Tamandua tetradactyla: one gene and its partner. The protein of the gene in region 2 interacts with the protein of the main gene of each other region in a pairwise test. Links are inferred from orthologs where the notes say so. Each region holds a gene or a part of one and is shown on either strand. Other genes may lie near its edges.

Region 1 (16,058 bases), on a different chromosome or scaffold from region 2:
TAGTTCATTTTAAATGTCTAGATGGCCAAAGGGAGAGCTACAGCCCATGATCAAACTGAAGACAAGGGGTCAAATGGGATGACAGATAGGTTGCTATACTTCCATTTACACACTGGTCTCGAAGACAAATGATCTGTTTAGCTAAGTGAAGGCTTCACTAATTACCAGCATTAGTGCGTTAAGCTATAGGTTGCCTGTCTATTTCGGCTATGGTTGCATGAAATTCAAACTTTGGCTCCTCAGCAAACAGTGTCATGTACTAACAGTAGTAAACACTTAAGTAATTACATGCACACCATTAGGTATGGAATCAGACCTAAAGAGAACTAAGTCTATTTATGGATCACCTCCAGCCCCGACACCTAGCACAAATCGGAGTTCAGACTGACTTTGAAAATGGGGGTTTTGCCTTTTTGAAACAGTGCCCCCCCCCCCAAAGGCAGCATGCCACTTGACTTTTGAGCTATGAGTCCCCAGACAAATTCTGGGCCTCACTTCCCTTCTCTGTTAAGTGAGGACAGCCATATACTTACCTGTGTTACCTCAACATGTATCGGATACTCTTTATCACCTGGCCGTCAACACCAAACACTCGGTTACATCCCATAATCACTGCTATTTTAAAACAGAAAATTTATTCTACAAACATATAGAAAGAATACCAATTCTTGGGAAGGTAGACTGTAAACCTCACCTCAACACATGAAACGCTTTCCTCTCCCTTTCTAGCTGAGCATGGATGCAACCTAAATGAGGTGTAAACCTGGATTTTTCTCATCTCAAGCTGTGTCTGATTGCCAGAACACACAGGTGTGGCAAGTTAGAATGTGAGCAGGCCACTGGGAGTCTTGTCTGAGCTTGCTGCACTCCAGCTCTGCCAGCGTTAGTAAACTCTCTAAATGTAAACAAGGCAGGCGGCAATGCCCTCCCCGGGAGCTGGTATCTCCTACAAGCTGAGAAGACCTGGAGCGTCCGGATAGCTCCCCATCCCTTGCAAACTGAAAAGCCAAGGAGGAGGAGGCTAGGGCACTTTGCACTTAACACACGTTGGTGGAGGCCTGCCTGCCACCCGGAGCCATCAATGTCCTGGAAAATCTGTCCCAGTAAGCAAATGACCATCCTTTCAGATGGATTCATTAAGCCTTTAGCACAGAGCACGGAGCCAGATGAGTGCGCCCACGCACTGCTCATCGAAGGCTTTCCTTCCGCAGTCACTAAAGCGCTTGAGGCTATTTAAGCAACATGGCTTTTCCTACCTCCGAAACCTGATGTTCAACAGATACTGAGTCACCTCACAGCATTCTCTGAGGTTTCTTATTCTCTCAAGAAAAATACTGCTGTTTCTAGGGCTTGGGACCTAAAATGTAGACTGTAAACATGCAAAGATTTAGGTCCAAATGAGAATGAAAAGACGACTCATTTCATCCTGTTAGTACTGATAATGCAAAACACCATCCGCGCAAAATCGAGTGGGACAAAAATTGGGAGAGGTACACTTGCAAATGTACCCTAATAGCTCACCATATGTGCAGTGATTAATCCATTTCTTCCTTCCAAGTCCTCAGCTGCTAAGAAATACAGCAGCCACACTCCTCAACCTTTCTTAAAACGATCTAAGATAATGAGGGTTGACAGCTTAAACAGTCCAGGAGGGTAATTTGGGTCCTAAACTGTAATGTCATTCCGATTTCATAAAGATGATGCAAATATATTATCAAGAGTAGATTAAGACAGGGTTTACTTTCTGCTCAGTCCTCATGGAACAATTACTCCCTCTTTTTAGAGCAAATAATTTGGTACCTCTGCAAGAGAAAAACAAAGGCTACCTGGAGTTTGTACCCCTGCACTCGAAAGTAGCATTTACAGAGACAGCCTGTCTCTAAACAGGACAGTATGTGACCTGGAACACATAGTGGGGGGGTGACAATATTAATGTCTTTAGATCTATGTATCTGTATCTTTTTTCTATTCCTCTGTGTGTGTGTGTGTATAACAGCTTTATTGAGATATAATTCATATACCATACAATTTGCCCTTCTGAAACATACAATTTGATGGTTTTCAGTATATTCACAGAGTTGCAAAACCATAATTATAATCAATTTTAGAACATTTTCATCACACACACCGTCCCCCCCACCTCAAAAAATCCCTGTGTTTATTAGTAGTCTCTCCCCATTTCCTCTTCCCCCTGTCCCTGATAACCACTGGCCTATTTTCTGTCTCTATGGATTTGCCTATTCTGGACATTTCCTATAAAGGAAATCACTCAGCCTGTGGCCTCTTGTGGCCGGCTTCTTTCACTTAGCATAATGCTTTCAAAGTTCATCCGTGCTGTAACATGACTCAGTACTTCGTTCCTTTTTATTGTAATATTCTATCATATGGATAGGCCAGATTTTACCCACCCATTCATCAGTCGGTGGCCATTGGGGTCGTGTCCACTTTTCCGCTAGCGTGAATGCTGCTGCTGTTAACATCTGGGTACAGGTTTGTGTGTGGACACACCTCTCCAATCCGCTTGGGTGTAGGCCTAGCAGTGGAATTGCTGTATGACCTGGTAACCCTACATTTAACTTCTGAGGAACTGCCAGGCTATTCTCCAAAGCGGCTGTGCCATTTGACATTCCCATTGGCAGTACGCAAAGCTTCCCTTCTAACTAATTGCAGTCCAGAGCTTGGTAAGCCTACCACAGAATGCCTGTTCTCCTGCCACAAAGAAAAACTCGGGTCATTGTTGAGCCAAAATCCATCTCAGATTTATAGAAGGACTTTAGCTTTTGCAGGCCGCAGAACAACTGAGTGATTATGGAAAAGCTTAAAGCTGGGACAATGGATAAGGTGACATTTTCCTAACATCTCGAGAGCATGGAATGTGCAAATGCCATTATTTGCAATATGGGTGGTTTTAGTTTGCTAAAGCTCACAAAATGCATTATACCAGAAATGGGCGGGCGTTTACAATTTCTTAACTTACACGTTTACAATTGTAAGGGCGTGAAAACATTCAAATTAAGGCATCAAGAGGATGATACCGTCTCTGAAGGCAGGTTACTGGTGAGATTGGGCTGCTCTGTTAGACAGCAAAGGACACGGTGCGTCTCCTAGGCCTTTTCTCCCAGCTTTCATTGCTTTCAGCTTCTGGCTTCGGTGGCTTCCTCTCTGAGCTTCTGCAGGTTTCTCTCTTTCAGCTTCTGTGGGGCTTTTTCTGCCCGCTTCTCTCTCTCTTTTATCCTCTTATAAAGGACTCCAGTAAGAGGATTAAGACCCACCTTGAATGGATGGGCTGGGTCACCTCCCAAATAGAATGACTGAATCTAAAGGCCCCACCCACAACAGGTCTCTATCCACAGGAATGGATTAAAAGAACATGCTCTTTCCTGGGGCACATGACAGCTTCAAACCCACAACGGGTAGACCAACAGACTCTCCTTGGCTCTTGAAAACCCTCAAGAGATCGCTAAGTGCACCTGGTGGGAACCAAATGAGGGTCTGCCTGGGAGGCCCAAGAGATGCTGCAACGAGCCACAGGCTCAGCGTGGGCCTGGTTAAACCCAGAAGCCGCTTCGAGTCTCTTCCTGCTCACTGGCAGCTGGAAAGATGGGAATAAGCAGGAGAGAGGGCCTGTTCCTCCCAGAGCATGGACGCTGCTCACGGTGGGAGGCTGTGTGATGGACGAAGGGGAAACCCAAGCCACCGGGACCTCTCCTGCTGGCCCCACCAAAGTCTTTGAAACCCCAGGGTCATTATCTGTACACAAACCGAGCTCTCCAAGCCCTTGGCATATGTTACAGAAAACTCCCCAGGACTTGTTCAAGCCAGGGTCTATTGGCTTCGCTGCCAAAAAAATAGAGGCCAAACAGGTTGCTGGCAACGCCGCGGATCCTGCCGTACAGCTCAGGGTTAATGCTGGCCTGGACGCTCTCCCGCCGAAACCAAGTAGCGCCATTAAGCTCACCCTGCATTTCGGGGGACTCTGAAATACTGTGCATCGATCAAGCCCTGCAGCGCCTTCAAAAGGCTGCTGTTTTGTTTTCATTGAATTTTTGGAATGATTTTCACATTTTCCATGATTTCAGAAGAGCCTTAACATGGGACAACTGGTGCACTCCTACAAGAGCTAGGAAGGAAGCTGAGCGCCCCAGCGAGGGCTGGGCAGTGGCATGAATGTGTCCTTGCCGGGAAACGTCCTGCAAGGTCAGGGGGACAGAAGAGAAATCGGGTTGCTCTGAGGGGTGGGGGCATTTTGGGTGCATTAGAGTGTTTCAGTGGCCCGCCTGTGACACCAGAGACTACCTGGGGGCCGATTATGACTACAGGGGACCTTGGCTTGATTCCAGGCCAAACGAAGGTTGGAGAGAAAGAGAAAGTGGGGATCATGGTCAGAAGCGAGGCAACCTGAAAGGCCCACTGAGGCAGGAGCTCGTGAACTCTGGGGCAAGCTGGTCCTGTCCTCTGCAGTTCTTCCTCCAGCTCTGTCATCCGTCATCTGTCACCTGTCCTCTTCCCTCTCCCTCCCTGCCCCTGGCTCACTTTATAAGGGGCTGCCCTGGCCATGGGACCTCAAGTGGCCACCCAACCTATCTGATCAGGAAGGTTTCTCCAGAAAATTCTCCCCTGCTTAGCTGCCCCAATATCTAAAACTCCACCATAAGAGAATGTAATTGTTTCCTCTCCGTGACTGTTCCCACATGTTTTCTGTTTCAATGTGAAGACTCGCTACAGATCGGCTCAGTTTTTAAGGCAAAATAAATCCCTATCCGTGGGAGTCTGTAGGTCAAAACCTGAAGGACGGACACCCAAAATGGTTAACAGCGTTACTTGGCCGGTGAGATTATGCATTGTTGTTAGTTTATCCTTCAATGTACCTTCCAAAGTTTCCATGAGTAGGGTTTTTTTGTTTTTCTTTTAGGGGCAGGGGAACACACATTTTTTCCTGTTCCTGGGGCAGGGAAGTGAAGCATTAAACAAATCTCTCTGAAGAGCTGGTTGTCCGCCTTCTTAAATCTTTTCTTCCAAGAACCAGCAAGGGGAGGAGGGAGCAGCAGAGTTCAACACATCAGCCCGGCGGGTCCCTACTTTCCCTCTGGCCTGGCCTAGGTCTCCTGAGCTGCGCGTTCCTGGCCATTTGCAAACAGCATTGTGTGGTCCACATTCCACACTTCACCAAGGTCAAGACTTCAGAAACATCAACAAGCACAACCCAGCATAATTGAGGTTTCGTCCAAGAGACAGGACCCAGGCAAAGCAGGGAGAGAATCACTCTTCTTGGAGAGGAAGAGAGAGAAAGTCTGGGAAGGCTTCCTGGAGGTAGCAGCTTGGCTGGGTGTGGAGGGTAAGCAGGAGTTTGCCAGTCAGGGGCAGAGAAGGAGGGTGTAAGAGAGCAGAGGTGTTCTGGTATCTGCCTTGTGATTTCTTTGGAAAACGTCCTTTCCCTTAGTCCCTGTGGAATTACAGCCTGCTAGTCTCTTCTGGCTTCTCTGCCCAAAAACGGGCCTCCGCCACCCCCTGGAGGCCCATCCCAGGGCCTCTCCTTGGTCCTCAGCACTTGGCCCCCAGACAATTTCTCCTTCACTGAGGTTTCAGCCGCAGCCCCCGTGCAGAACATTCTCAGGTCTCCAACTCCTGCCCTGTATTCGTTCCAAGTTAGGCCCACATCATCTTGCTGTGCATCAGCCATGTCATTGTTACACTGATGTTCCCATCAGTTTCTCACCCTCCATTCTTCACTCCACAGCCGGGCCAACGGGCCTTCCCAATTTCTCTCTCAGCTAGCTCCCTTATCTGACATTAATTTAGGCTCAAAAACTGTACAGTCTTGGCTGCTTCGTCTCCTTGGTCCTCAGAATTTAATCACACAACACAGCCTGATTTCTTTTTCCATTGAAATATCACCCGTAATTTCCCTTTCTCTATTGTTTCCACAGTTCGATCCAAATCCAAGAGTCATGCTTGGATTAGTGCAGTAGTTCTCAAACTTGTGGCCCCCAGGGACTAGCACAAGCATTACTTGAGAGCTTGTTATAAATGCAGATTCCCAGGGCTCACCTCCACACCCACCCAGGCCTTCCACTGTATTAGAAGCTCTGGGGATGGGGGTGGGGGGTGGTATCCATTCCTTTGCATTTTTAAAACCCTCTAAGTAAAGCTGATGCTCATGAAAGTTTAAACCAATGGAGTAGTACAAGAATCTCCTGTGATCCTCCCACAATCCATCCTGAGAGTGGCTCCCCAATTAATTTACTCACTGTTAGTTATTCTGCTTTTTGGCAGGGCTCCACTCCAGAACCATCAGTGGCTCCCTGCTTTGTGAAGACTAAACTCCTGCGCCTGGCTTGTAAAGTGCCATTATCAGGCTCCACCTCTCCAAACTTGTCCTCCTTAGATGTCCTAAGACACTCTGCATTCTACCTGTGACAATGTCTTCACTTTCTAAGCCCCAAGGCCTGGACTGTAATGCCTGCTCACGCCCACCCACCCATCCCACCCCACCCAGGTAGGATTAGGACCTTTAGAAACCCTAAACAGTTAGCTGTAAAATAATTGTACGGAGGGCAACCAAATTACAGATTCTTTCCCAGAATGACCGATGTGTTGCTTTAAAAACCCATGTATCAAATTATCCTTAAAATATGTTTTTTGGTTCCACCTGTTTTCCTACGGTCCCCAGTTCATGCTGAACAAATCTGCTCATTAATCCAGTCCTGCCTCTGTGGATCCAGGTCCTATTCAATGCTGAGTGCTCTCATTTTTGTGAGCAAAACTAAATAAATGAATGAATGAACTTCATCCGCTCAATTAGTCAGCAGGAAAGCGTTTCGGTTTTTTATTTCTTCTGTGTTGTCCCTTTTCAGCACCTGCCCTGCAGGAATTAATACATCTTAGTGGATCTCAGGGTCTCTGTTTATTGGCTCTGGAATCAACAAGTGCTGTGGGCAGCCGCAGGGTCTGTCCTCTACTGCCTGAACCTGTTTCTCAGAATCCTTTGAGCCCTGAATGAATGCTTTCCCAACCGGTTAAGAATCATACCTGTAAGACACTTTCCCAAAGTGGGGGGAAAAAATCCCTTTAAAATGAGTCCATCAGTAGGCTGTGTTTGAAACATCATCTCTAAACCCAGCCAAACCTGAATGCCAAATACCTATGACTTGTGACTCGAAGAAATGGTTTAGCAGTAAAAAGTTCCCCAGTTATAAGTAACTTTTGAAAGCTCCCATTTAAACAAGGGATGCATTGCATCGACAAAGAACAGTTCCTTGGAGGCTGACGTTTTTGCTGGAGAAGAATCGGTGAAAACGGACTCGTCACCGTCTATGGGGCTCTCGGGGTACAGGTGAAAACCGTTTAATCCGTGTGCGACCCGGCGAGCCGCGGACATCGGACCCGTACCTGCCCCGTGGACGCACCTCCCGAGCCCGGGAACCAACCTCCCCGGGCGCTACGACTCCACAGCCCCCGTGACTCACCCCGCATCATTGGGTTTGAAAGGAGCCAGGTGGTGGGACGGTCTCCTGGCCCCAGGGGTTTTCTGCGGTTCCTGCTCCCTCCTTCGCCAGCCATTGAGCGCTCCCGGGTCGCCAGGCAAACTCGGCGCGCCCCTCCGGGTGCTCAGGAAAGCCGGGGTCCCAGGCGTCCCCGGCGGCGGGCTGAGAAGCGGCGCGCGTCCTGCCCCGACGGCCCGCCGCGGAGAGCAGCGCAGCCAGCAGCGGGAATCTGGGCAACGCTACCTGCGGGTCGGGCACACGCACTCGCACACGCGCACGCTCCACCTAGCTGGCTGGAGGTCGGCCAAAGCCCACGACAGCCCCACAAGCCCCAGGTCTGCAAAATTGCTGATGTCACGTCCTTTCCAAAAACTGAGACCAATCAGTGAGGCAGCCTTGGAGTTTATCAGGAAGGAAACTCAAAAGTTTGTAACATTGGAGCGTGAACAAGGGCGGGCTTGAGGGAAGCAGCTCGCCTTCTGCACCGTGGTCCACCCTGCTGAGAGCTGTTTGTTACTTTTTCTCGTGGAGACCAGCCCCCCACCCCCACCCCCACCCCCGAGAGCTTGAGAAAGCTGGTTTTGCTGCAGCCCTGCAGAATTGCTTGCGCTGCGCAGAGATAAGCACAACAAAAAGCACAACAAGCCTGGTCAGCTGCACACGTGGTTTCAATTTTGCTGAGAGTTTCCTATGAGAAAATGTGTCTGTATGTCACAGAGACATGCACGTTTGGAAAGAACTTTTTCTTTTTTTCCCCTTTGGACAGCAAGGAGTTCATTAAATGTACTTCACCCTTCCTCCACACATTTTCACTTCCCAGTAAAGAATTAATGGGTTGCTATAGGAAAAATGAGTTTCTGGGTGGCATGGAGGTGGGGGTTGTTTGCAAGACACCTGCTATCTTTCTCCAATTGCTGATTATAAAGTTTTCCTTTATAAACGTTTTGCAGTCTTCGTTACAAAATATTTGGGTTTTCTGTATATGTATCTTTTCAGATAAACCCAGTTTCACAGCGCCCTTTGGTGCTGGTTCAGGCTGTTAACCGACCCTGGACTCCCACTGTTCCTCTCTGCCAGGTGGAAGAGGATTATCTTCCAGTGGGAGAAGGTTCTGAGTTAGTTTCAAGGTTAGTTTGGCTGTGAAATGATAGCGGAATTTTGATTGAATGCTGAGGCAGCTTCACTGTTTCTGATTTAAGAATCCCAGCTGAAACGCTCCGTAGCCATCGTCAACAATGCAAGGAGTCATTACAATGCATTTCCTGCACACATCTGTATATACATTTATCCGTTTACCATTTGTTCACATAAATGTCCTTAGATTGTCATGTTCTTCTATGTCCTTCACATTTATTAGACTTGGAGATGTTTCTGTTTCAGCATATATAGCTACATGCTCCTTTCTTTATTCACTACCGCCTAGCCTTCCTAGTCCATATTCCATATGATGGAGGCAGAATGTTTCTTTTTTTTTTTTTTGCTACTACTACAAAAACACTGCAGCCCATATTTTTTAATATATGGCTTTGTGCACATATGCAAATATTTCTGGAGGAGAGATTTCTAAGTGTGGAAACACTGAATCAAAAAGTATGCTCACATGCGGGTGATAAGTTGTTAAAGAAAAAACATAAACATGTAAAGGCACACACGTGCACATGAGTACAAGAAAAGCTGGAGGAATCTAAATAAGATCAGTGGACCATATCAACATTTAATATCCTGGTTGCAATATTGTACTAGAGCTTTGCAAGATATTACCCATGGGAGAAACTGGGTAGAAGGTGCACGAGCTTTCTCAGTTTTTTTGGGTTTTTTTTTTTTCCTGTCTTCTTTCTTACAACTGCCTGTGAATCTACAATTATCTCAAAAGATGTTTCAATTAAAAAAAGTGATGCTCATTTAAAATGGGGCTAAAAGGTGCCAAATTACCCCATCTCTATTTGCATAGTTAACTGAGAAGGGCAGAAGCATATAAATTCTTCACCACTGCTTCAGGAAAGATTTGAAGAACGATGTCATTTTTACTTGACAGTCAGTGAAAAATGTAGTCCCAGGCTCGACTGAACTACAAATAGTTAGACAGAGGGGCGTAGTGGAGAAGCTGGAACCCGTCACCATTCTTTCTTAGCAAAATCTTCATGGTTCAGGTTTGTTGCCGCTGAGTGGGCAATTTTGTCCTATGTGCACAGAAGTCAATGCCGTGACACCAGGAGTTCGAGAAAAGATTTATCACGCAGTCCACCAGCAAGGAGATCCAAGAGATGATCCTCAGAGCAGTCTCCCCAAGCGGAATGGGAGCTGAGGTTTTACCTGGGAAAGGTGGGCCTCAGGGAGGGGCTAAGGGTGGATGAGATGAGGGGTTGGGGGGAGTGGGCTAAAGGGGAGCCTGCTCAGGTCAGATCATGCTACTTCACGCATCACATGTTCAAAAATGGAGGGTGGGAGTGATTTTTACTATTTGTAATTAGGCAATGGTGATGTTAGGTCAGGGCTTCTCCTGACTGAGCATGCTCCAGCCCCTTGAACTGGCTAGAACCAGCCTTAGCAGGTGTTGGAAGGGAAAGAGGAACTTTTCCTGCAGCCAAGCAAGCTGCTACTGAATAAACATGAGGGGGTGGAAGCGCAAACAAAAGAAATGAAAACTTTTTCAAACCAGTAGGGGAGGCACTCCTTCAGTGGAGAGGAGGTTGGTAAGTGGCAATTCAGCGTCTTCCTTTATTTTTAATTAAATTCCAAGAAGATAAGATTTCTCCATATTCAAATTTAAGGTCGGAAATGACAATAAAGACTTCCAGGATGTTGCCCTGGTGCCTGTGAGGGAATCAGCTTTGTGTGTGTGTGTGTGTGTGTGTGTGTGTGTGTAAATTAATTTCTATTCTGGTAACATTTATACAACAAAAATTTCCCATTTGAACAACTAATCTGTTTTTAATCTTCTCATTATATTTGTAATGTTTATTGACACTTGTGATTTTTAAAAAACTACCCATAGTTCTAATCAAGAACTAGAAAAGCATTATAAGAAGAGTTTGTACATTTTTAAGGATTTACATGCGGATCAATTTGATTTGCATGTGTATGAGCCGTGATTAGAGAGAACTGGGTTGGATTACCACAAACCAGCAGTCTTATCAACTATCTTATCAGCTGTTCAGGCTTTGCGTGTCACTGTGTGTGTCTGCATGTTCAGCGAGGCTGGTCCCGGTTGGGAAAGAAAAAAGAATTATGGCCTACAGCAGATTCTAAGGTCACACTTGTTCTTTTTTTTTTTTTACTTGTGAAAAATAACATATATACAAAAGAGCAGTAAATCTCAAAGCACACCGCAACAATCAGTTACAGAACAGATTTCAGAGTTTGGTATGGTACAGATCCACAATTTTAGGGTTTTCCTTCTAGCTGTTCCAAGACACTGGAGACTGAAAGAAATATCAATACTATGATTCAGCAGTCATACTCATTTGTTAAATCCCATCTTCTCTGTTAAAACTCCTCCTTTTCCTTTGATCCTTCACCCAATCTTTAGGGATATTTGGGTTATGCCTATTCTAACTTTTCATGTTGGAAAAGGGTGTCAATAACAAGGGACAGGGGATAGAACTAGTTGATGTTCTTGGAGAGGCTGGCCCCTCAGGGCTTCAGGACTTATCTGGCCTAGGAACCCATCTGGAGGTTATAGGGACCCATCACACTCATTCTTTATCAGGTGCAGTCTCAACACTGGCCAGTCCCTCTGCCTCACCCTTGAGATAATGTCCCTAGGAAGGAAGCATGACTCATGGGTCATGAGACTCTTGTCTCCAAAGGCACCCACGGCCACTCGGTCAGAGTTGGCACAGGAACTGCAAAGAGGGGGTCTTGTCATTTCTGCTCGCAGTTTTTCTAGCACAAACCCTTTAAAGCCCAGAAGGTATGCAGCTTCACTGATAATTTGGAATTATCAGATTTTACGCAAAAATTCTCTGTTCCAGTCGTTCTTGTAGAATTGGCTCTGCATGCTGAGTTATCTGGTATTGCTGCTTTAGAGATAGAACGTTCTGCCTTCCTGCTCAGCAGAGCAGCAGAGCAAGATTCGAACAAGAACATGTTTTTAAAAATCTGCTATAATACAGTATTCATAAGGAAACAATCAGAGAAATGAACATTGAGGGCCCATCTACATGATAATGGAGCTGAACTCTTCAAAAATTTCAATGGCATGAAAGACAAAGTGGGGGTGTGGCATTCTATACTAAAGGAGATCAAAGGGGCACATAATCAAATGCGATGCAACATCCTAGATTGGAAACTGAATGGGGAACAAGCCAGAGAAGACATCAGGGCCCCAAGCATGGAACCTGAAATCTGGATGTACACTGGGTCACCGTGGTGTGGCGATGCCAGACGTCCTGAGAGGAGCACTGTATCACGGTTATGTGGGGACTCTGCGCGCTTAGGAGTTGCATGCGGAAGTATTTGGTATAGAGCCTTATGGACATCTTGGGCAAAAGGGGAAATGTGCGCCCCTATATACACATTTTGCACCAAATGGAAAAAGTTAATACAAGCTCTACAGAAAACAAACAAACAAACAAACAACCATGAGTACAGATAAAGCCCCCCACCGGGCCTGGTCTGTTCACATGCCATTGTCATTCCTCATAAATCCCATGACCACATGTCCCAGAAACCCGGGTTGATCGGAAACACTGTTCTCTTTGCACAATGCTGTAGGGTCGTAAAGCAAACACCAACAGTGTGCCTTTATTAAAATTTTTCGCATATTGGTCATCGTGGGTTTCTTGCCAATACATTTTTTTTAACTTTTCATTTTGAAACACTTTCAGACCTACAAGCCAGTTCCCAAAATAATACAAGCCCCATACAGAGAACTCCACCATACCCCTACCCCCTATAACCAGAGGCACCAATTTAAACATTTTTGTTACATTTGCCTCATCATTCTTTCTATCTATCCATTCATCCATCCATCCATCCATCCATCCATGTTTTGGTAAGTCTACTCTCCGAATATTTGAATATTGGTTGTATACATCCTGCTCCTTGAACATTTAATACTGTCACGTACATTTCCTAAGAACAGGGATATTCACTCACGTAACCCCCTTAACTGCAGTTATCCAGTTCAAGAAATGTGTGATTGCTATAAAGCCTACAGTTTATATTCCAATTTTTTTCACATGTCCCAATAATGTCCCTTTGAGCCTCTTCTCCTCCCTTGCTAGATCCCATCCAGGATCACATATTGCATTTAATTGTCATTGTCTCTTCAGTTGCTCTTTCTTTCTTTTTTTTTTTAATTGTGGATGTCTTAATATTTATTTTTTAAAATAGTGCATAAAATATTATTTAGCTTGATGACTGAGTGTTTGGTGTTCCCTTGAATTTTGCAGCTGAGGTGAGGGCCTCACTTGCCTCACCCTAATGCCAGCCCTGGTGAAAAATTATGATGTCTGCAATGATGTCTGTATGATGTCCAGATGGCTCAGTAAAATAAAAACCTGTGTGTGTGTGTGTGTGTGTGTGTATGCATATGTATTAATTATATATGCTTTATACAGAGATGTTAGTGTTTACATACATAGATGCATATATACATACACACACATACAGAAAGAGAAACAAATGTGGCAAAATGCTAACAATTGGTGGATCTAGGCGACAGGCATGGAGGGGTTGATTGTATTATTTTACAACTTTTCTGGAAGTTTGAAACATACAACAATGGTGGGGGAAGAAAAATTAATAAGTGGAAATAAAACTCTGGCATAGATTTTTTTACAGGTTCAACTCATGAAAAAAATAGGAAGCTGCTATTCGGTCTGACCCATGCATTCGTCCCACTAAGGGAAGGAGCTGAAATATTTGCTCTGCAAATGTCCAGGCAAGAGCTGATCCTTACAGTGGTTTGCGATGGGAGGAAACCGGAGGTCATCCAGTGGGGAGAACATCCTCCGGGGACAAGCTGTGGTCACTCAGCCCCGCCCCTCCCCATAACAGCTGCAGGCTCTGCCTCTGAAGCCTCCGCCCTTCTCTGTTGTGCTAAGTGCATAAAATCTCAGCAATGAGGCTTGCAACTGAAAAAAAGAATCATTCATCCAACATCATGCTTACTTGACATGGCAGTATTAGAAAGTTAGGGATGAGAATTATTTGGGGAGAAACAATTCCTTGATAATCAGAACCAAAATTGAGAGAATCGAATGCTATATATAACACTTAAAATAATTTAAGGAATTTTGGAAGAGTTGAGGAACTAGGAGTGGGGTAGGGTGGAGGGAAGGTCTCCTTTGTCCCTGTTATATGGCCAGGGCATTAACCCTTGATCTGCCATAAATGTCACATATAGCTTTTTCTTCCATTTTTGTTTGCCCTTTCATTTTACGGTATTTTTGGCAACATAATTTTTAATGTATTCTAAATTGTCAGTGTTGCCCTTAAAATTTTCTGCCTTTGATATTATACTTAGAAAGGCTTTGCCCACAGAGTGCATAAATATTCACGTGCATTCTCCTCTAGTATTTTCACATTTCTTAACATTTCAAAAACCTGAGATTTGGGTTTTTTTTTTTTTTTTTTTTTTGCATGGGCAGGCACTGGGAATCGAACCCGGGTCTCTGGCATGACAGGAGAGAACTCTGACTGCTGAGCCACCATGGCCCGGCCCTGAGATTTGTTTTTAAAATGTGACATAAGGTAAGACTTTAACCTTTTCCCCAAAATAGCTAACTAATTAAAATTAGTTTATGAGATAGTCTAGAATACCTGCTTCCTCTACCTACTTCAGGCCAGTAGCACGCCTTCTGGTTATGATAACCCAAAATTTCTCTAGACATCACCAAATATCCCTGGGGGTGGGGGTGGGGGTGGGGGGGAATTGTCTGCAGTTGAGAACCAAAGATCTAGAAAAATAGAAGAAAAAAAAATCACGTATGTAACTGATTTTAGGGTCACCTGAGAGAGGAAGAAGTTAATCATATATATATTTATTTCTATATGTGTGTGTTTCACTTAATTTTTTTCTTTTGAGAAGGTAACATGATTGAGTCACTGAATCACGACAGTAGCACTTTCAATAGTTAAAAGTCTGTCTAATTTCCATCTTTTAAACTTACAAAAAGAAAGAGGAGGAGAGAGAAAAGGAGACAGCAGCGGCTGTTCATATATGCTTTTTTGCTTGTTTTGGGCCCCTACCCACGGAAAATATACTGATCCAGCTTTGAGTCTGCCCTGCTGACTGGTATGCACGGGTAATATTTTCAAACACCCTGAGGTTCTCTTGGCATTGAAAAGAACCCAATGCTTGGGTGGCAACAGGCATCAGATGGCACCTGTAGGTTCAGGTAGATGGGACTCCTGGTGATGTACCATCCTAGAACTGCTTTCTTCCGAGAGCAGTGTTTAATAGCAGAAGTGATGAAAAATAGACCCTGAGATTTGTTTGGCATAATTTTTGCCAACATCTCTCTTAGCAACCATTTCAGTAACTGGAAACTTCCATTCACTGTGTTGTTTTTCATGTATTTGGCTTTTTGTTTTTAATATTGAAAAAAAAAAGGCAGGGGAATCAAAATGCTAGCAGAGATTTATTCCAAGAAGGAAGGAAAGAAAGAAGGGTGGAGGAGGGAAAAACTAAGTCAGGACCACTTCTTGGGCTATGTAACATTCATCGTCATCTCCCCCTGGATTTGCACATGTCTACACGGTATGCAGAAAACTGACACTTACGTACTTGAATATCATGAGCTATCGAAAAATGGCCTATTCTTCTCAGTCTACTTGACAGTTGGTTTTTTTAAAGTTTTTTAACAAGAGCTAAAGATGGAAATGTTGCCCATTGCCCCTTGGCTAATGAGAATATTAAACCAGCCAGTAGTTTTCACACCCCCAGTGTCTGGGACCGACCTGAATGGCTAAGCTGACATGAAGATGCCGAGAGTCCATGCCTGAGGAGACCTGGGCACCGCAGGCAGGAGCCCGTGTCTTTCCCAGGCTCTTCCAGTGGGCAGTAGGGCCTATCGGTACAGGAGGAATCTTTCCAGCGGCTCCGGCAGATGTAGTTCAAGGATGGCTTGATGGCATGCACGACCCAAGCGCTTACGGATACACAGGCGGCAGAGCTGGGCAAGGGAAGGCGGGCCTGTAGAGGGGATACAAATGGTTTAATCCCCATGGGGTGGGGGTGGGGATGCAGGGTGGAGACCAGAGAACCAAAAGGGACTGAAGACTTTCTAAAAGGACACGAGAAACTGGATCTGCATAGGAGATGACAGAGCAAGATGGCAGACATGAAATGCACACTCCCAGCTGCCCCTCTGGAGGGGGCATGTTTCTTTTAATTGATCCTTACATGGCAATTGGATTTGTGATGTTGACCAGAGGCCAGTGAGGAATGAAGCATGGGGTTTAAAAGTGTACATCCTGTTCATGGACTGGACGTGACGTGCTGGTGGAGGAGGACTCTCAGATGAAGTGCTGAGCCTGCAGGACCTCCAAGATGAAGCTGCTGAGCTGAGGGACGAGTGTGGAGAGGGTGTCTGCAGGAAGCCCAGCCTGTGTGGTCAGAGGTGG
Region 2 (15,923 bases):
GGGTGGAGGCGGGTTCTGAGAAGCTGAGGATCAGTTAGTTTCCTGGCGGTGTGTGTTCCCGTGGGGCACGGAGAGTCCTTTCCTAGAGGTCAGAAATCCCCATTCCTCGATGGAGGGAGAGGTGGTTTGTCGAGCTAAAGGTCAGGTCAAAAAATAGAGGCTCAAGAAGACACGGGGGCAGAGACGGAATTGGGGGCTGGGAGGCCGGGAGGCCAGAAGTGGGTCGAGGCGGGGCTCAGGGAGGGGCAGAAGTCAGCAACCTGGGGCGGCGCCCACCTTCTGCAGCCCCACGCAGAAGCGGCGGAAGACCTCCTTCATGTTGCCCCCCTTCTCCATGGAGATGACCCGGAGGTGGTCCTCCTCGTTCACCCACACCAGGAAGCTCTTGTTGTCGTTGTGCCTAGGATGGGGCCCAGCAAAAGGCGAGCGAGTCAGCGGAAACCCCATTCCCCATGCCCAACACGAGGGCCCAGGGTGGTCCAATTCTTCCTCAAGCTAGAAGCTTCTACCTGTAGACTCTGATGTTATATAGAGTCTGTAAAGCCTCGAAGCTGGACATCAGGGACTTTTAAAGTCTTCTGTCTTCGAACATTGGGTCTTAAGCCTTTAAATTATAGACTCTTGGAATCACATAATCTTTGAAAAACCTAACTGATACATTTTAGGAATGCAGAGCAGGACTGGACAAATTTCCCATCAAAATGTGACATCTCAGAATCCTGACATCTCTGAAACAGAGGCTTAGTACCATAAAACATTAAGATCTGGAAATGTTAGAAATTGTGGGATCACAGAATCAGAAGTTAGTGAAATCTTAGAACCTATGGATATTTAAAATCTTGAAATCTTAACATCATCCAATCTGTATGTTTTAGAACTCTAGACCCCCCTAATCCTCTGAAAGGTTCTCTAAACCTTTTTAAACATTTGACTCACAAAATCAGAGTCAAAGACTCATAGAAAGTCTACCTAGCAACTAGCAGTTAGAAATAGTGGTAATACTGATAACCAACAGGCACCGAGTGCTTACTATATGCCAGGCATTGCTTTCAATACTTTGCATTTTATTAAGTCATTTAATTCCACAAGAACCCCAAGCTTTAGGAATGACCACCACCCCCATTTTATAGACAGGGAAACTGGGACAGAGAGAAGTTAAATATATTTGCACATGGTCACACAGCTGGTAAGTGGTAGAGCTGAGATTTGAACTCAGGGAGTCTGATTTAAGTCTAAAGTTTAACTGTGCCTTCTCTAGTCCAAGTTTCCCAAAATGTGACACACAGGGAGTGGCGGGGTGGTGTCCGGATGAGTGTGGTGCTTAGAAGCATCATTATTTGTATGGTCCTGACTTTGGTTGGGGAGTGGGGAGGGTTGTGGGGATGGTGGGGGCGGAAGCCTGGGAGAGGCGGGGAGGCCATGGTTGTGTATGGGGCAGCGGGGTGGGGGGTGGGGGTCCTCACCAGATGCCACGGGCATCAGGCCAGTCCCGGGCCATGCCTGAGGCCAGCAGCAGCGGAGACACGGGCTTGTCGAACAAGAAGTGGTCATCGATGAGCTGCTGCTGCTCCTTCTCGGTCATGCTCTTCAGTGGGTAGTACTTGCCCTTGAACTCGCCCGTCAGGCTGTTGAGGGCTGAGGGGCCACAGAGGGGGTGGTCACCAGCCTGCCCACCCTCACCCCCACCCACCAACCAGGGCACGGAAGCCAGGGGCCCTCCTGCACAGCTGCCCCAAACAGGCCTGAGCTTCAGCCCACTCATTGTCCTAAGGATGCCTAAACACCATGTCCAAACCCAAAGTCACAACCTCCCACCAAAATGGGTTCCTCTCCCATCCACCTGGGCCCCAGAAGATGAGCTGCTTAAGCCAGAAAAAAGAAGCTTCTCCCCTTCCCCTGAGGGCACATCCAATCCTCCAGCAACCAAAGGGCTCTCAAGAGAGATGGTCAAAATCTTAAGAATTTGCAGAGCCATTAGTAAAAATTACTGCTATCTATAATACTTATATATATTTATATGTATAATTAATGTAGCCTATGTATATGTATAATGTTTTATATATTATTTATACTTACATATTTTATATATTTATATACATTTTATATTGTTCATATATTATATGCTGTTATATATTAGTAAAATTAAATTATGTAAACATACAATTAAATTGAAAACAAAGGTAATAAATACTCAAAACTGACACTTCCGAGTTATTTTACTCCTCTACTATAATCTCTGTTCTTGAGTTATTTTCATTGATTTTATGATGCTACATTGACAGCTTAAAATTGGCCTTAGTATGAAAATTTACACCACAGAAATAGACAAACTCTACAAATCTGGGCTATTTCCACATCTCCCCTCCCCTCCACCTTCCCCCCACCCCAGAGAGAGAGAGACAGAGAGAGCCTGTTGTTAAGCATTTGCCAGCACACCATTGCTTGCAGGACCTGATAGGTCTACCTTCAAAAGATCCCCCTGTTTTTCCCCATCCCAGTGCCTGTCCCCTGTCCCTTGCCTGGACCACTGCAGTTGCCTCCAGACTGGCCTCCCTGCTCCATTCTTTACTCACTTCCCCATGGTCTGTTTCCACCTTGCAGCCAGAGGGATCCAGGTAAGTCTAAACCTGTGCCTCCTCTGCTCTCCACCTTTCGTGGCTTCTGCCTCACTCAGAGCTAAAGCCTAAAGGAGGCCCTGCACAGATTGGCCACCACTACCCCTTCCCCTCATCCCCCCCACCCCACCTCACACCCCCTCTACCCCTAAAACACATGCCCACCTCAGGGCCTTTGCACTGCTCTTCCGCCTGCCTGGAGTTCTTCCCAAGGCAGGCTCCTTCTTGTCAGTCAGGTCTCAGCGCCTCCCTTCTAAAGTAGCTGCCCCCCTTCATTCTTTACCACTTCCCCCCGGTTCTTGGCTTCCTGGCACATTGAAATTTTGTGCACTTATTGGTCTCTGTGTTCCATCATATCCCTTATCCTGTGGGCTCCAGGAAAAGTCACCTTGTCCAAATGAATGAAGTACATTCAGCCGGGCCCCGGGGCAGGGAGTGCTGCATGCTGCTCACAGCCTGGGCCTTGACATTCTCCCCTCTCCGGCAGAGGCCATCACTCTCCAAGCACCCCTGGGTTTGCCAAGCTCCTCTCACGGTTTTGAAACCTAGACAGGGCCAGGTCACTGCCCTGGGTGGCCAGGGCAGGGACTCTCACCTTCCACGGAGAGTTTCTCTATGGCCCGGCGCTCGCCGCGGGAGCAGTGGGGGGGCAGCGTGTAGCCCTTGATGCTGCGGCCGGTGCGGACACGGCTGCTGAGCACGTAGTTGGGGTCCAGGTCGTCTCCACCCTAGAGGGCAGCCCGGAGTTGGGGGAGGTGTCAGGGTTGGGCAGACCCTCCGGGGCGTACCCCCTCAGCCTGCCCCGCCGCCCGCTGAGCCCCAGGTGCCCCCACCTGTGCGACCCCAGGAGCCCCAGGTCCTCCTCGGTCCTCTCGGGCTCTGGCTTTCTGCTGCTTCCCTTGCCCCCTCCCGCCCTCCCCCCCACCTGGCCAAGCCTCTGCCCGCTGCACCCCACCTGCCCCCCCACCCCAGCTCAGTCTCTTCCCGCCCCTGTCTCCCCTCTCCCCCTCCCCCCTCCCATCTCTGCCTCCCCCCGTATCGCCACCCTGGCCCCTCTCCATCTCTCCTGCCCTTCCTACCCTGCTCCACCCAGACTCCGCCCCCCACCACGCCAGGGGCCCTGACCTTGAGGTTTTCATGGTTGAGGTCGGTCTTATGCTTGTCGGTGGGTTTGTAGCCCCCGTGCCTGTCCTGGATGATGGGGTCGAAGACGTCCTTGAAAACCTCATAGGACTCCTCGTCCCCGGCCACGCAGCCCACGGTCATGATGTATGGGTGACCTGGGGGGGTTGGGATGAGGTCAGAGGCGCTGCTCCCCAGCGAGCAGGGCCCCTGGGTCCAGTGAGGACTGGGTGTGCGGGAAAGGGAGGGGGAGGGGGAGGGGAGGGGGCAGGGGCAGGGGAGGGGGTGGGGGCTCACCCCAGACCCCCAGGCCAGGATTGAGAAGGTGGAGAGGAGGCGGATGCGGACAGCAAGCTGCCGGGTGGGGGATAGGATCCAGGGGACAGGGTGGCTCTAGGGGAGTCTCTGGCAGCTGGTTACAAGGGGCTAAAACATTAGCACCTCAGAACCCCACAATCATGGAATCTCAGCCTAAACATCTTTAAAACCCACAGCAGGTCGGGGTAATAAGAGACTCGAAAGACCCTCTTGTTTCCCACACGGGGAAACTGAGGCCTGGAGAGAGAGGGAGTCTCCCCTCAACCACACAGTGAGGCAGAGGCCGAGACGGTCCTAGAACCTTGGGTCCTGCCACCAGCCCCCGTCTCCACTGCGGGGGCCCTTTGTCCACAACACTGACAGCTCCCACTCCCATTCCACGCTCTCGAGTTGATGTTTCCATGACAGCCTATCCCGTGGGTGCCCATTTTTCAGATGAGAAGACCAAGGCTCGGGAGGTTAAATGACTTCCTCAACGTCTCACGTTATGTTGGTGAACTTTTGGGGGTGCCCTTCGCACGTATTGACCCCTTTGCTGGCTCACCCCAGCCCCCCTCTAGCTCCCGGCCAGGGAGGCCCACCTGGGTTGTCTACCCCCGTCTGAATGATATCATCCAGGGTGAAGCCAGACGGCGTCTCCTTGTCCCGCAGCTTCTTGTAGAGGTCAAGGGTCAGCACTTTGGCCATGTGGTTGTTGTGCTTCGTGAGGTCAGGGTACTCCTCCTCGACCTTGTAGTTCAACTTGAACTTGTTGTGCGTGTTTCCGAAAGGCATGGTGGCGGCGTGTGGGGGCCTGGCGGTGGCAGAGGGGAGGGTTAGCCCGCACCCAGCAGAGACCAGCAAGAAATCGGAGCAAGGCTTTGGGGGCCAGTGGGCCTGGAGGCCGTTCCTCACTCCAGCCCTGGGTCACCTGGAGCAAGGGGGGCCCCTCACTGAGCCCCAGCATGTTTGGTTTTTTTGGGGGGTAGTGCATGGGGGGGCAATTGGACCCGGGTCTCCCGCATGACAGGCGCGAACATTCTACCACTGAACCATCTGTGCACACGAGCCCCAGCACATCATAACGGGGCACTTCTCCTGGAAGAACCGGCTTTGGTATTGAGGGGTCTTGGCTTAAGGCCTCAGCTCTGCCACTTCCTGGCTGGGTCACTCTAGATTATAAATTTGCTAGAGACTCCTTTTCTTCAGCTGGAAAATGGGAGTGGGGGGGGGGTGGGGGGTGGGGGAACCCCTGAGCTGGAGTTGGATGTGCCATGGTTATGAATGTAGGTGCTGGAAGCTGTTCTGCCACTTACAGCTGGCTGTGCGTCCTTGGGCAAGATGCTTAACCTCTCTGGGCATCAGTTGGTCATAATGGTGCCTACCTCATGGGGATTTTGTGAGCGCTGAATGAGTGACAGCATGTCAACACTTGCAGTAGTGCTTAGCACACAGTAAGCATTCTTTTGCCTAGCTGCTTTCATATCACTGTTGTTATTTTAAAGGTCTGTGAGGAGCTGATGAGATGGTGGGATGAAGGGCGTGGCAGGGAATGAATGTGGGAGCGCAAGAGAAGGTGTATTCTCTGCACAAAGGTTTCTAGATGCTCAATCCAAGCATAGGACCAGGGTGGGAGGACTGGCTGGTGGTTGGCCCCAGCTCTGCCTACCGATGCCCCTCCTATGGGCCTCAATCGGAAGGAAAGCTCAGCCTCCGGGGCCAACAAGACTGGGTTCAAGTCCCACTGATGCCCTTTTCCCGCAGTGTGGCCCCAGGCCAGTTGCTCTGCCTCTCTGAGCCTCTGTCCCAGGGAGGTGTGACGGGCTGAGCCCAGGTCTCGGCATGGAGTATGTGGCCAGAAATTAGGAGGTGGCCACTATGTTTGTTATTACTTTTATTAGCCCCAGAAAGGGGGCGGGATCCTCCAGCAGTACAGGCAGGGCTGGGGTCCCTACTCCCCACTTCAGGGACGGGAGCAGGCAGGATTGCGGGAAGGAACGCAGGAGTGGGGGCCGAGGCGCCGGGCCCCAGGGTGGGGAAGGGGACCCGTGAAGGCCCTCTGGAGCTGCTGCCAGGTGGGGTGGTGTTATTTTTAGACTCTGGCAGGCTCCTCCCCCCTCCCCAGCTGCTGCCCCCCACCCCATCCTACCCCCACATTCCAGGGGCTCGGCTTGCACCAAGTCAGCAGGCCAGAGACAGGTGGGCCAGGGTAGCCCAGAGGACACACACCCAGGCCTCGGGGCTCAAGGACATTCTGGGCTTCCGGCCCAGAGCCCTCCCCCCTGAGGGTATGACCACCCCTGTCCCCGCCAGGGCCACCCCAGGAAGGGTATTGAAGCAAGACGGGCAACCCCAGGAGACCCAGCAGAAATAGCCCCAAATCCACACACACAGGACATCACGCCATGATGGACACCCCAAACCACCCCATAAACAGCCATTAGGGTCACACCTGCCAGGGAAAATGCCCAGGGCACAGGTACCCCTGGAGGGGACACAGCAGGGTCCTACACGGGGGTCGCAACCGCAAAGCCCCTGCAACACCTGTTCTTGCACCCCTGACACGTGAGAGGTTCACAGATCCCTCCCACAGCCTGTGCGCTGGTGGCACCAGTGTGGGTAACAACCACTAAAGAACACAGTCCCAGCCCCACAGCCCCTCACAGGGAGGGGAGACACTTGGCAGCTGTCAAGACCCCTCTCTTCTCTGAGATTCCTCCCCAGGAACCTGCACCACAGAGACACAAGTGCCCCCAGGGGGTCAGGTGAGCTCCCAGGTGGAGAGGACCCTCAGATACACGAAGCCATCCTTCCCCCACACAGGCCCGCCCATCCACAGGAGGGTGCAGTGGGGTCTTCCAGCACCAGCTCAGACTCTGGCGCCCACCCATGGAACCCCTGCTCTGGCCCCCACCCCACCCCCACTTCGGGCAGTACCTGGCTGGGCTGGGCTGGAAGGGGCTGTCTGTATCCTCTGAAGCGACACTGACCCAAAGGAGGGGCCTGCAGTCCAGGCCTTATATAGCGGGACCTGGGCTGTGCTATTGGCTGGGAGTGGCTGCTCCCAGGGAGGGGACCAGAGGACAGCCGGGCCTCTTACCTCCCCGCCCGGGCACCATGCCCACCTCAAACCCAGGGGTGCCTTGCACCCAGCCCCAGGGCCTTGTATGGGCCACTGCAGGGGCCGGGCCTGGGCACCCCCCACCCCTCCACAGCTGATTCCCCGACCAAGTGCTGAGTCGGGCTGGCGGGGACAGCTGGCCCGTGGCCAAGAGCACGGGACAGCAGCCGGGCACGTCCCAGGCACATAGAAGCCACTCGTCCGCTGTCCCCGGGCCCTCGGCTGCTAGCCTCCTGCAGGCCCTGAGCCTGCTGGGCCGCCAGCCCCCTCATCTGGCCTGGCCAGCCCCCTCCTCTGCTCCCCCCAACCTTCCCTGGCCTCTTCTGTAGTCCCCGATCCCCTTGACCCTAGCAAAGTGGCAGGTACTGAGCGCTCACCACTTGCTAAGAGCACCAGTCAGGAAACCTCGCAGTGACCCGGGGAGGGCGGCACCCGCGTTTTCCAGAAAATAAAACAAAGAGGCCCAGAGGGACTGTGTGACTTGCCCGCTGCCATTCAGCTAGGGAGGGGACCAAAGGGGGGAGGTGTTTGGAACCCAGGACAGTCTGACCCCAGAAGCCTGAGCTCTGATGTTCCTTCCCTCCTTCTTCCTTGGAAGTGAGCAGAAGGGAAACTGAGGCAGGCTGGGTTACAGAGACTCAAACTCAGGACTGCACCGTGGAGGGCAGCTATGACCCTGGGAGATTTCCGCCACGAAAGCGGGGCGGAGGGGACAGGGAGGAACTTGGCCGAGAAAGGAGTTATTTTTAGAGCGCACTCCGCTGTCGGAGGCGGAGACCCGCGGCGCCCGGGATGGGGGGGCTCGGGGGCAGGTGTGGGGGGCAGGGTCACCACGTGTCCGGGCTAATTATAACCGGCTGGCTCGGGTGTCCCCGCGCCTCGCCTCCTTACAAGGGCAGCAACGGACCCGGACGGCCGCCCCCACCCCCACCTCTGTGTCGGGGCCGGGCGGCGACGCATTTAACAGCGCGGGCCCGGGATCCGTGCGGACCCCAGCCTCGCCAGGAAGCGCTCGGCCCCTCGACTGTGACCTGCGACCTCAAGGACTCGGCCGGTCGGCCTAGAGGAAGCGGCTTCCTTCGCCTGGGGGGCTCCAGGATTGCAAGATGAGCAGGACGCCTCCTCCAGGGAGCGCCTGGGATTGCCACGGAGAACAGGCCGTTGGTCCCTCCTCTCCCGGCCTCCTCCCTTCTTCCCAGGTCTCCACCTTTTCTGGCATTTCCCGGGGTCTTCCCCATTTCTTCCCAGGCAGGTGAGGACTGGTTTAGGTGAAAGGCCCCGCCCTGACCTCTCCACCTATCTGCTCCTTCCCAGCAAGGACAGGCTGGCGAAGGTTCTAGATCATGATCAGGGAAACCCAGGCCCAAAATCTTCATGCAGTTATCACTTCAACAATGAGTTGTTGAGCACTTCAAACACAGCTTAACCAGACAAAAGCCCTGCCCTATGGAAGTGACCTTTTCGTGACAGTGAACAAGTGAATATATAATGTAATGTCAGGGCCAATATGTGCTTTGAAGGAAAAGAGAAGAGGACAAGGGATGAGTCTGATGGTGCAGCATCGACCTTCCAGAAAGGAAGGTCAGGGCCAGCCTCTCCGAGGGCGAGGAAGGAAGCAGCCATGTGGGAATCTGGAGGGAGAGTGGCTGGAGGCTGGGCGGGGGTGGGGAGCAGGTGCAAAGGCCCTGAGGCGAGAGGGGGCCAGAGCCAAAGTCTGAGGGACACTGAGGAGACCAGGTGGTCTGAGGGGAAGGGGAGGAGTGGGGGAGAAAATGAGGTTGGAGGGGGGTTGGGAGCAGAGCATGGGGCCCTGGACACCACGGTGTCGGGGGGGGGGAATGTTTCAGTTTCACCAGGGATGGGGTGAAGCTACGGAGAGCTGTGAGTAGGGGAGACGCAGGATCCAGCCTCAACACACACTCTGCGGATGGCACGGCCAAGCGCCGTGGGCCCCGGATGGCCATGGGGGAGAGGGGGGCCTTCGACATTCTCTTTGGGTTGCACAGCATGACATGCCATTTCTGTCTTCTCCCCACCTGCTGACGGCCTCCTTTGGAGAAGCGGAAAATGCCAGAAACGTGGCTTCCCAGAATCCCCTGGAGCAAGGGGTCCAGGCATGGGGCCTGGATGGGGCCAGGACCCCGAGCATGAGCTCTAACGTGCTTTACCTTGTTTGCATCTCCCAGAAACAGCTGGCTTTGGGGAGCATTGTTGCCTCCCACATATACATATCTTGATCTTGCTGCTTGTCCCTTCTCATTCCCAGCCTTTCTGGGCCTCCTCCCTTTCCCCACAGCCCACCCTGGCTAAGGCCCCCCATCTCCCAGGTGTCTCATCCTGCCCAGACACCTCCCTGGTCTCTGGACCCAGTCTCTCCTCCCCCCAACCACCCCCCGTCTCTCCCTCCTGTTCAGAATTTGCCATGGCTCCCCAGTGCCCCCAAGATAAATGAGTATCTGTTGACTAAGAAAATAATAGTCGTCATATCACACAACTGCAGGCCACAGAAACCATTCTACCCTGGAAAGCCACTGCTACCAGTGGAAGGGCTGAGAGAGCAAGCTCTAGGCTGGCCCTCCAGGAACACCTCTCAGCCTCAGAACCACACTCCCTCTGGAAAACCTAGTTTTTAGCTTTGCAGGCCCTTCATGGATGGAAGACGCTCTAGAAAAAATTTAGCATGGCTGTTGAGTAGCCATTCCAGTCATTGCCAGTTAACTTTTATAGAGCAGTCCCCATGTGTCAAGTGCTGTACTCTGTGCTTTATATAGAGTAACTCATTTAACCTTCACAACAATAAGGCTCAGAGAGGTTAAGTGACTTGCTCAAGGGCACACAGCTGGGAAGAGACAGAGGTAGGATTCAAACTGACAGAACTGCAAATAATGTATTCAAACTTTAGTGAAAAGAATCTTCCAAGTCTCCCAGCAAAGTCATAGACTATATTGTCAGCTCAGGGTCCCTTTTCAGGACATCAGACCCCGGTCATTAGTACCTGCTTCCCCTTGCCCTTCTCATCAGCCCAAGAGTCTGACCTCAGGCTCCAAGGACTTTATGTGCATTAGCCAATTTAATTCTCCAACTGTCCTATGAGATTGGGCACTATGTTTTTAAGAATTGGGAGAATGAATTGGCCAGAGAGGTTGTTTCATTTACCCAGAGTCACACAGCTTGTAAGTACCAGAGTCACACTGGACCAGGCACTCAGATCCTGCGGTGATACTCTCAAGTCCTTACCAATCCCACCTCTGCAGTGCCATTTTATAGAGGATGGAGGTTGAGGTTGAGTTATCAGGATCACACAGCCCATATGTCTGGAATCCCAGAGCCTATACTCTTTCCCCACTCCTACCCCTGAGGCCGGGCATTGCACAGCAGCCCTGCTCCCACATTCTCCCTTTGTTCTAGCAAGTCCCCTGAACCTGTCCCTCCCCTGGCCAGGTCCTCCCCAACCCCAAACCCTCTCCCAGTCCCAACTGTCTATAATGTCGTCTGATTCAAGAAAGACAAACTGTAAATCAAAGGCAGACCCAGAAGCGGGGATTTGAGGGTCTGCCTACCCCTACTTCTTGTCCCCCGAGAGCTGCTGCAGCCCTGTAATCTGCTGAACGTCAAGCCCGGTATGGGCAGGGTAGGGGTGCAGGGAGAGGAGCCAGTAAGAACAAGTTCTTCTCAGAAGTTCCCTTCCTGCCCTGCTTGAGTCCCTCCAAATCAACTCACTATATATTTTCCTGCAGGTGCTGCTTTAATTGCATACCACAGGTTTGGGTTTGTTTGTTTGATTCTTTCTGCATTATTAGTTCAGTTTTATTCTTTACATTGAAAATGCTACGTTTGAGTAAATTTGGAGTGTTTGGATGGTCACGCATTCACATTTTGTTCTCTTTTCTGAAATGTACTTTTTAAAAATGAAGGCATGACTTCTATTCAGTGAACTGCCCTAATCTTAAACTCTGTGAACTTTGACATTATCTGGACGTTGGAGTGACCACCACCGGGATCAAGATACAGCTCTGTCAGCAGCCCGGAAAGCTCTCTCCTGTCCCTTTCCAGTTAAGTGTCTCCTCTCCCCTCCAAGGTAGCCACGGTCCAGCAGGGGTGTCCTCTCTTGCCTGGGATTGCTTTTTTCTCAACATTATTTCTGGTGATTCCTTCATCCTGTTGCATGTAGCAATAGCTTGTACTTTAACAGGTTTTGTTATATTTTTGTGTATATTTTATTTCTTTTTCTTCCACAAAGAAGCCATACCCCTTTCCTAATCCCCCTGCCTGTTGGCATTTGGTTTTGCCATTGGAAGCACATGTATATTTTATTTGATGATTGGCCTGTTCTAAAGATTTTCTCATTTCTTTTATTATTTCTTCTCTGTCCTATGAGTATTTTTTAAGAATCTTTTTATTATTGGATAAAAGATGACTGGAATACTATGCAGGTGTTAAAAAGAATAAAGTGGATTGTTCTAGTTTGCTAGCTGCCGGAATGCAGTATACCAGAAACAGAATGGCTTTTAAAAAGAGGAATTTACTAAGTTGCTAGTTTACAGTTCTAAGGCCGAAAAAGTCCCAATTACAACAAGTCTATAGAAATGTCCAATCAAAGGCATCCAGGGAGAGATACCTTGGTTCAAGAAGGCCGATGAAGTTCAGGGTTTCTCTCTTAAGTGAGAAGGCACATGGCGAACAGGGTCAGGGTTTCTCTCTCGGCTGGAAGGGCACATGGCGAGCAAGGCGTCATCTGCAAGCTTTCTCTCCTGGCTTCCTGTTTCATGAAGCTCCCCAGGAGGTGTTCTCCTTCATCTCCAAAGGTCGCTGGCTTGTAGGCTCTCTGCTTCTTGTGGCTATGTCGTTCTTCTCTGCTGTCTCTGAATCTCTCTTTCTCCAAAATGTTTCCTCTCTTATAGGAGTCCAGTAAACCAGTCAAGACCCACCCAAATGGGTGGAGACACGCCTCCACTTAATCCAGTTTAACAACCACTCTTGATTAAATCACCTCTCCAGGGAGATGATCTGATTACAGATTCAAATATACAGTATTGAATAGGGATTATTCTGCCTTTATGAAGTGGGTTTTGATTAAAACATGGCTTTTCTAGGGGACAAACATCCTTTCAAGCCAGCACACAGATCTATACATGCTAAGTGAAAAAAAAAAAAAAAAAAAAAAACCCGATATGCCTACAGCCACAAAAGCTCTATGAAACACATCTCCCCCCAAAAAGTTCAGTGGCTTTAAAACAGCAACCATTTATTCTCATGGATGTGGGATTAGCTGAGGGTTGGCTGATTGGGTTGAGCTCAGGTGGGAAATTTGTCCCCCACATCTCCACCGTGGGGTGTGGGCTAAAGGGGGAGCAGCCACGTAGGAGAAACACTTCTGATGATGATGCCAGCGCATGAAAGTAAACATGCAAGGTCTCCGAAGGCCTAAGCGTAGAACTGGCAAAGTTGTCACGTGGCCAAGCCCAAAGTCAAGGCCAACGAATCTTCAGCCCACCTCCATGGAGAGGTGTTTCCTCACTTGTTTTACTTCAATGGGCGCACACACTCCTATATCAGCACACAGCCCAAAGCCGTGGAAGATCTCTGGAAGGTATGTGAGAAGGTATCTAGGGATCAAGAAGAGATGAAGATATGTCATTGGTAACAGAGACCATCAGGAGTTAGAAATAGGGTAAGATAATGGGTAATTGGAGCTGAAGGGATACACACTGTGCAACAGGACTAGATACAAAAACTCAAAAATGGACAGCACAATACTACCTAATTGTAATGTAATTATGTTAAAACACTGAATGAAACTGCATCTGAGCTATAGTTTTTTGTTTGTTTGTTTTGTTTTTTATATATATTTTTTGTATTTTTTATTTTTAATTTTTTCTCTATATTATCATTTTATTTCTTTTTCTGTTGTCTTGCTATTTCTTTTTCTAAATCGATGCAAATGTACTAAGAAATGATGATCATACATCTATGTGATGATATTAAGAATTACTGATTGCGTATGTAGAATGGAATGATTTCTAAATGTTGTGTTAGTTAATTTTTTTAATTAATAAAATAAATAAATAAATAAAGAAGAGATGAAGACCTACTTTTCACTCCTTTTATATTCTGTGAATTTCTTTTTCTGACGGTGCATAAATTTTTCAATTAAGGGGGGAAAAATAAGACTTTTTTTAAACTGGCCAAACTAAGGGACCGGCAAAGCCTTCCTGATCAAAATGGGGGAAAGAAGTGTAATAAAATAAGGCATCAGTGGCTGAGAGACCAAATGGAGTCAAGAGGCTATTCCGGAGGCTACTGTTACCTGAGCGTCGGTTGGAGAGTGCTGATTGCCATGGTTTGCTAACCCCCAACCAGCATCACTCCTGTTGACTCTTCAGAACACCTAGGGCTGGAGCGGAGACGCTATAAAAGTTTCACACACTAATTTTGACTTCCTGGAACCTATAACTTCCAGAGGGTTCCCGGGCCAGATACATCCTGAAACACCAGAGGGACCAGCCTCTCCAAGGTTATCTTAAGTACATCCCCCTATCCTTTAGTGTTGAGACTCCTTCTCAACATGAAAAAATCAGAACCAGCATTACCTAAAGATCCCTATAGATTGGGAGAAGGAGCAAAGGAGAAGGAAGAGGTATGACAGAGAAAATAGGATTTAACAAATAAATATGACTGCTGAATCACTACACTGATTTTAGCCTCCGGTGTTTTGGATCCGCTAGAAGATAAAATCTGAAATATGAAATAATGGAGTGGTAGCCCCTGACAAACTCTGAAATCTATTCTGTTGAAGTGCACTTTGAAAATTGTTGCTTTTTCTTTCCTTTCTGTGTATATATCTTTCACAATTAAAAATGTTAGAAAATAAAAAAAAACTGGATGAGAGGTGAAAAAGAAAATCCTTGACCCATCCACCCATTTTCCTGAGTTGGCAAACTGAGGCCTTATGGAACAGGATGGGGTGTTTGTTGACTGCCTTCTTGGATATGGACTTGGGTAACCTATTTCTCCTCTCTGAGCCTCAGTTTCTTCATCTTAGGTGGGACTAATAATGGTACCTACCTCAGGTGACTATTGTATGGATTTAATGGCTCTGCTACTACTTGGCTGTGTGACTTTAGACAAGCTACTCAACCTCTCTGTGTCTCGTCTTCTTCATCTGTGGAATGGGGATAATCCTAGCACCTGCCTCGTAGGGTTGGTAGGAGAGCTTGGCTCAGCACCTGGGTGTGGCTAAGAACTCAGAAACACCAGCCCTCATTGGTGTGAGGGAAAGTTGCTTGGCACAGGGCCAGCCTAAAGAGATGGTTGCCTTAGTTAACTTTCTTCTTTCAACCTTTCCCTCATTGAATCCTTCCACAATACTGTGTGGTAAACCTGATCATCCCTGTTTTTCAGAGGAGGAAACATGGGCTCAGAATGAGGTCATTTCTTGCATAGTCACATGACAAGGAAACGACAAGGCCAGAATTCAAACTCAGATCTACCTGGCTCCAGGTCCCTTGGCCCCCCCACCCCTCCCCACACACATGTAGTATCTGCTGTGTGCCACCACCGTCTCCTAAGCCTTTTCTCGGGATGACTCGTTAACCCTCACAACAGCCTGATAAAGTAGATTACCCTCACAAGTCCTGTTTTACAGATGGGGAGCCCGAGGCCCAGAGAGGTTATCTCCCGGCTCCGGGACACACAGCCAGTAAATGGCCGAGCTGGGATTTGCACCAGTCTATCACCCACCCTGCCTTGTGTGCAGAACCAACATACAGTGTCCTGAGGCCAAAAGCATGGGAGTGGGTGTAAGGAGGGGAGCTCAGCTGTCCCTTTATCCCTCCCAGCCCCCTCTGGAAGAGTTAGATTGTGCATTCCATCATTTAGGCACCACCATTCTCCCCAGTGCCTTCACTTGTACTTGGACGTGCTAGGAACATGGCAGTGATGGGAGACAGACTTGGTCTTTCCTTTCCATAGGGGGCTCCTGTCCCGTGGTGTAAACAGACCCATTCCTAGACAGCTACAACCCAGAGTGGGCAGGATTGGGATGGGGGAGATCAGGAGGCTGCAGGACCCCCAAAAGGATGTCTGACCCAGCCTGGGAAATCAGAGAGGGCTTCCTGGAGGAGGAGAGGAAGCAACAGGTTGGCTGTGGCTCCGTGGGAGATAACTGACCTGCGCTGAAGTCGGGAGCCTGGTTCACGGTCCCAAGGCGCCCTCTGCTGGAAGCAGCCCCTAGTGCAGATGCTTGGAAAAGCGTGAGTTGAGGTAAAAATCCTGTGCACCAAGCTTGGACCATTTTATGATTCTAGGGTTTGATTCGTTTAGTCAGTCACTCAACAAATATTTATCGAGCACCCAATAAGCTCCAGGCTCTGTTCTAGTGCTAAAGATAAACTTCTGACAATACACAAGGTCAGGAGCTGACAAATTCTAGAAATGGAAGAAAATGTACCAATAATTATAATAGTATACAATCAGTGCTAACATTTGCTAAGTGTCTCCATATGCCCGACCCTGATAAACGTACTGTCCATATGTAACAATAACCCTTTGATTATTCCTATTTTACAGAATGGAAAGTGAGGTATAGAGAGGTAAAGTATTACCCAAGAACTGCACAGTCCGTAAATGCTGGAATCAGGATTTGAATCCAGAGCCCATATTTTTAACCATCATATTACCTCCCCTCTCTAATAATCTAATATAATATGATAACTGAGATGATATATGATATAAATGTTATAACATAATAAATGTGAAATGATGTGTTT

What was found.
Region 1: the proteins of CKM (region 2) and ASB9 interact in binary tests that used the Homo sapiens proteins (3 or more experiments, as listed by UniProt). The two-hybrid records come from large-scale screens. The link is inferred for Tamandua tetradactyla from reciprocal best matches to the Homo sapiens genes CKM and ASB9.

Annotation. Positions count from the first base shown.
Region 1 is NC_135353.1:159,758,162-159,774,219, reverse strand, and holds the start of ASB9 (ankyrin repeat and SOCS box protein 9), read right to left. Parts: upstream 7,970-16,058; 5' UTR 7,561-7,969; coding exon 7,467-7,560; intron 806-7,466; exon of another isoform or gene 695-805; intron 616-694; exon of another isoform or gene 534-615; intron 1-533. Other genes in the region: ASB11 (ankyrin repeat and SOCS box protein 11), read right to left, coding at 15,503-15,627. UniProt on the Homo sapiens protein: Substrate-recognition component of a cullin-5-RING E3 ubiquitin-protein ligase complex (ECS complex, also named CRL5 complex), which mediates the ubiquitination and subsequent proteasomal degradation of target proteins.
Region 2 is NC_135342.1:15,655,096-15,671,018, reverse strand, and holds the start of CKM (creatine kinase M-type), read right to left. Parts: upstream 7,104-15,923; 5' UTR 6,972-7,103; intron 4,849-6,971; 5' UTR 4,830-4,848; coding exon 4,637-4,829; intron 3,896-4,636; coding exon 3,741-3,895; intron 3,344-3,740; coding exon 3,211-3,343; intron 1,636-3,210; coding exon 1,464-1,635; intron 401-1,463; coding exon 277-400; intron 1-276. UniProt on the Homo sapiens protein: Reversibly catalyzes the transfer of phosphate between ATP and various phosphogens (e.g. creatine phosphate).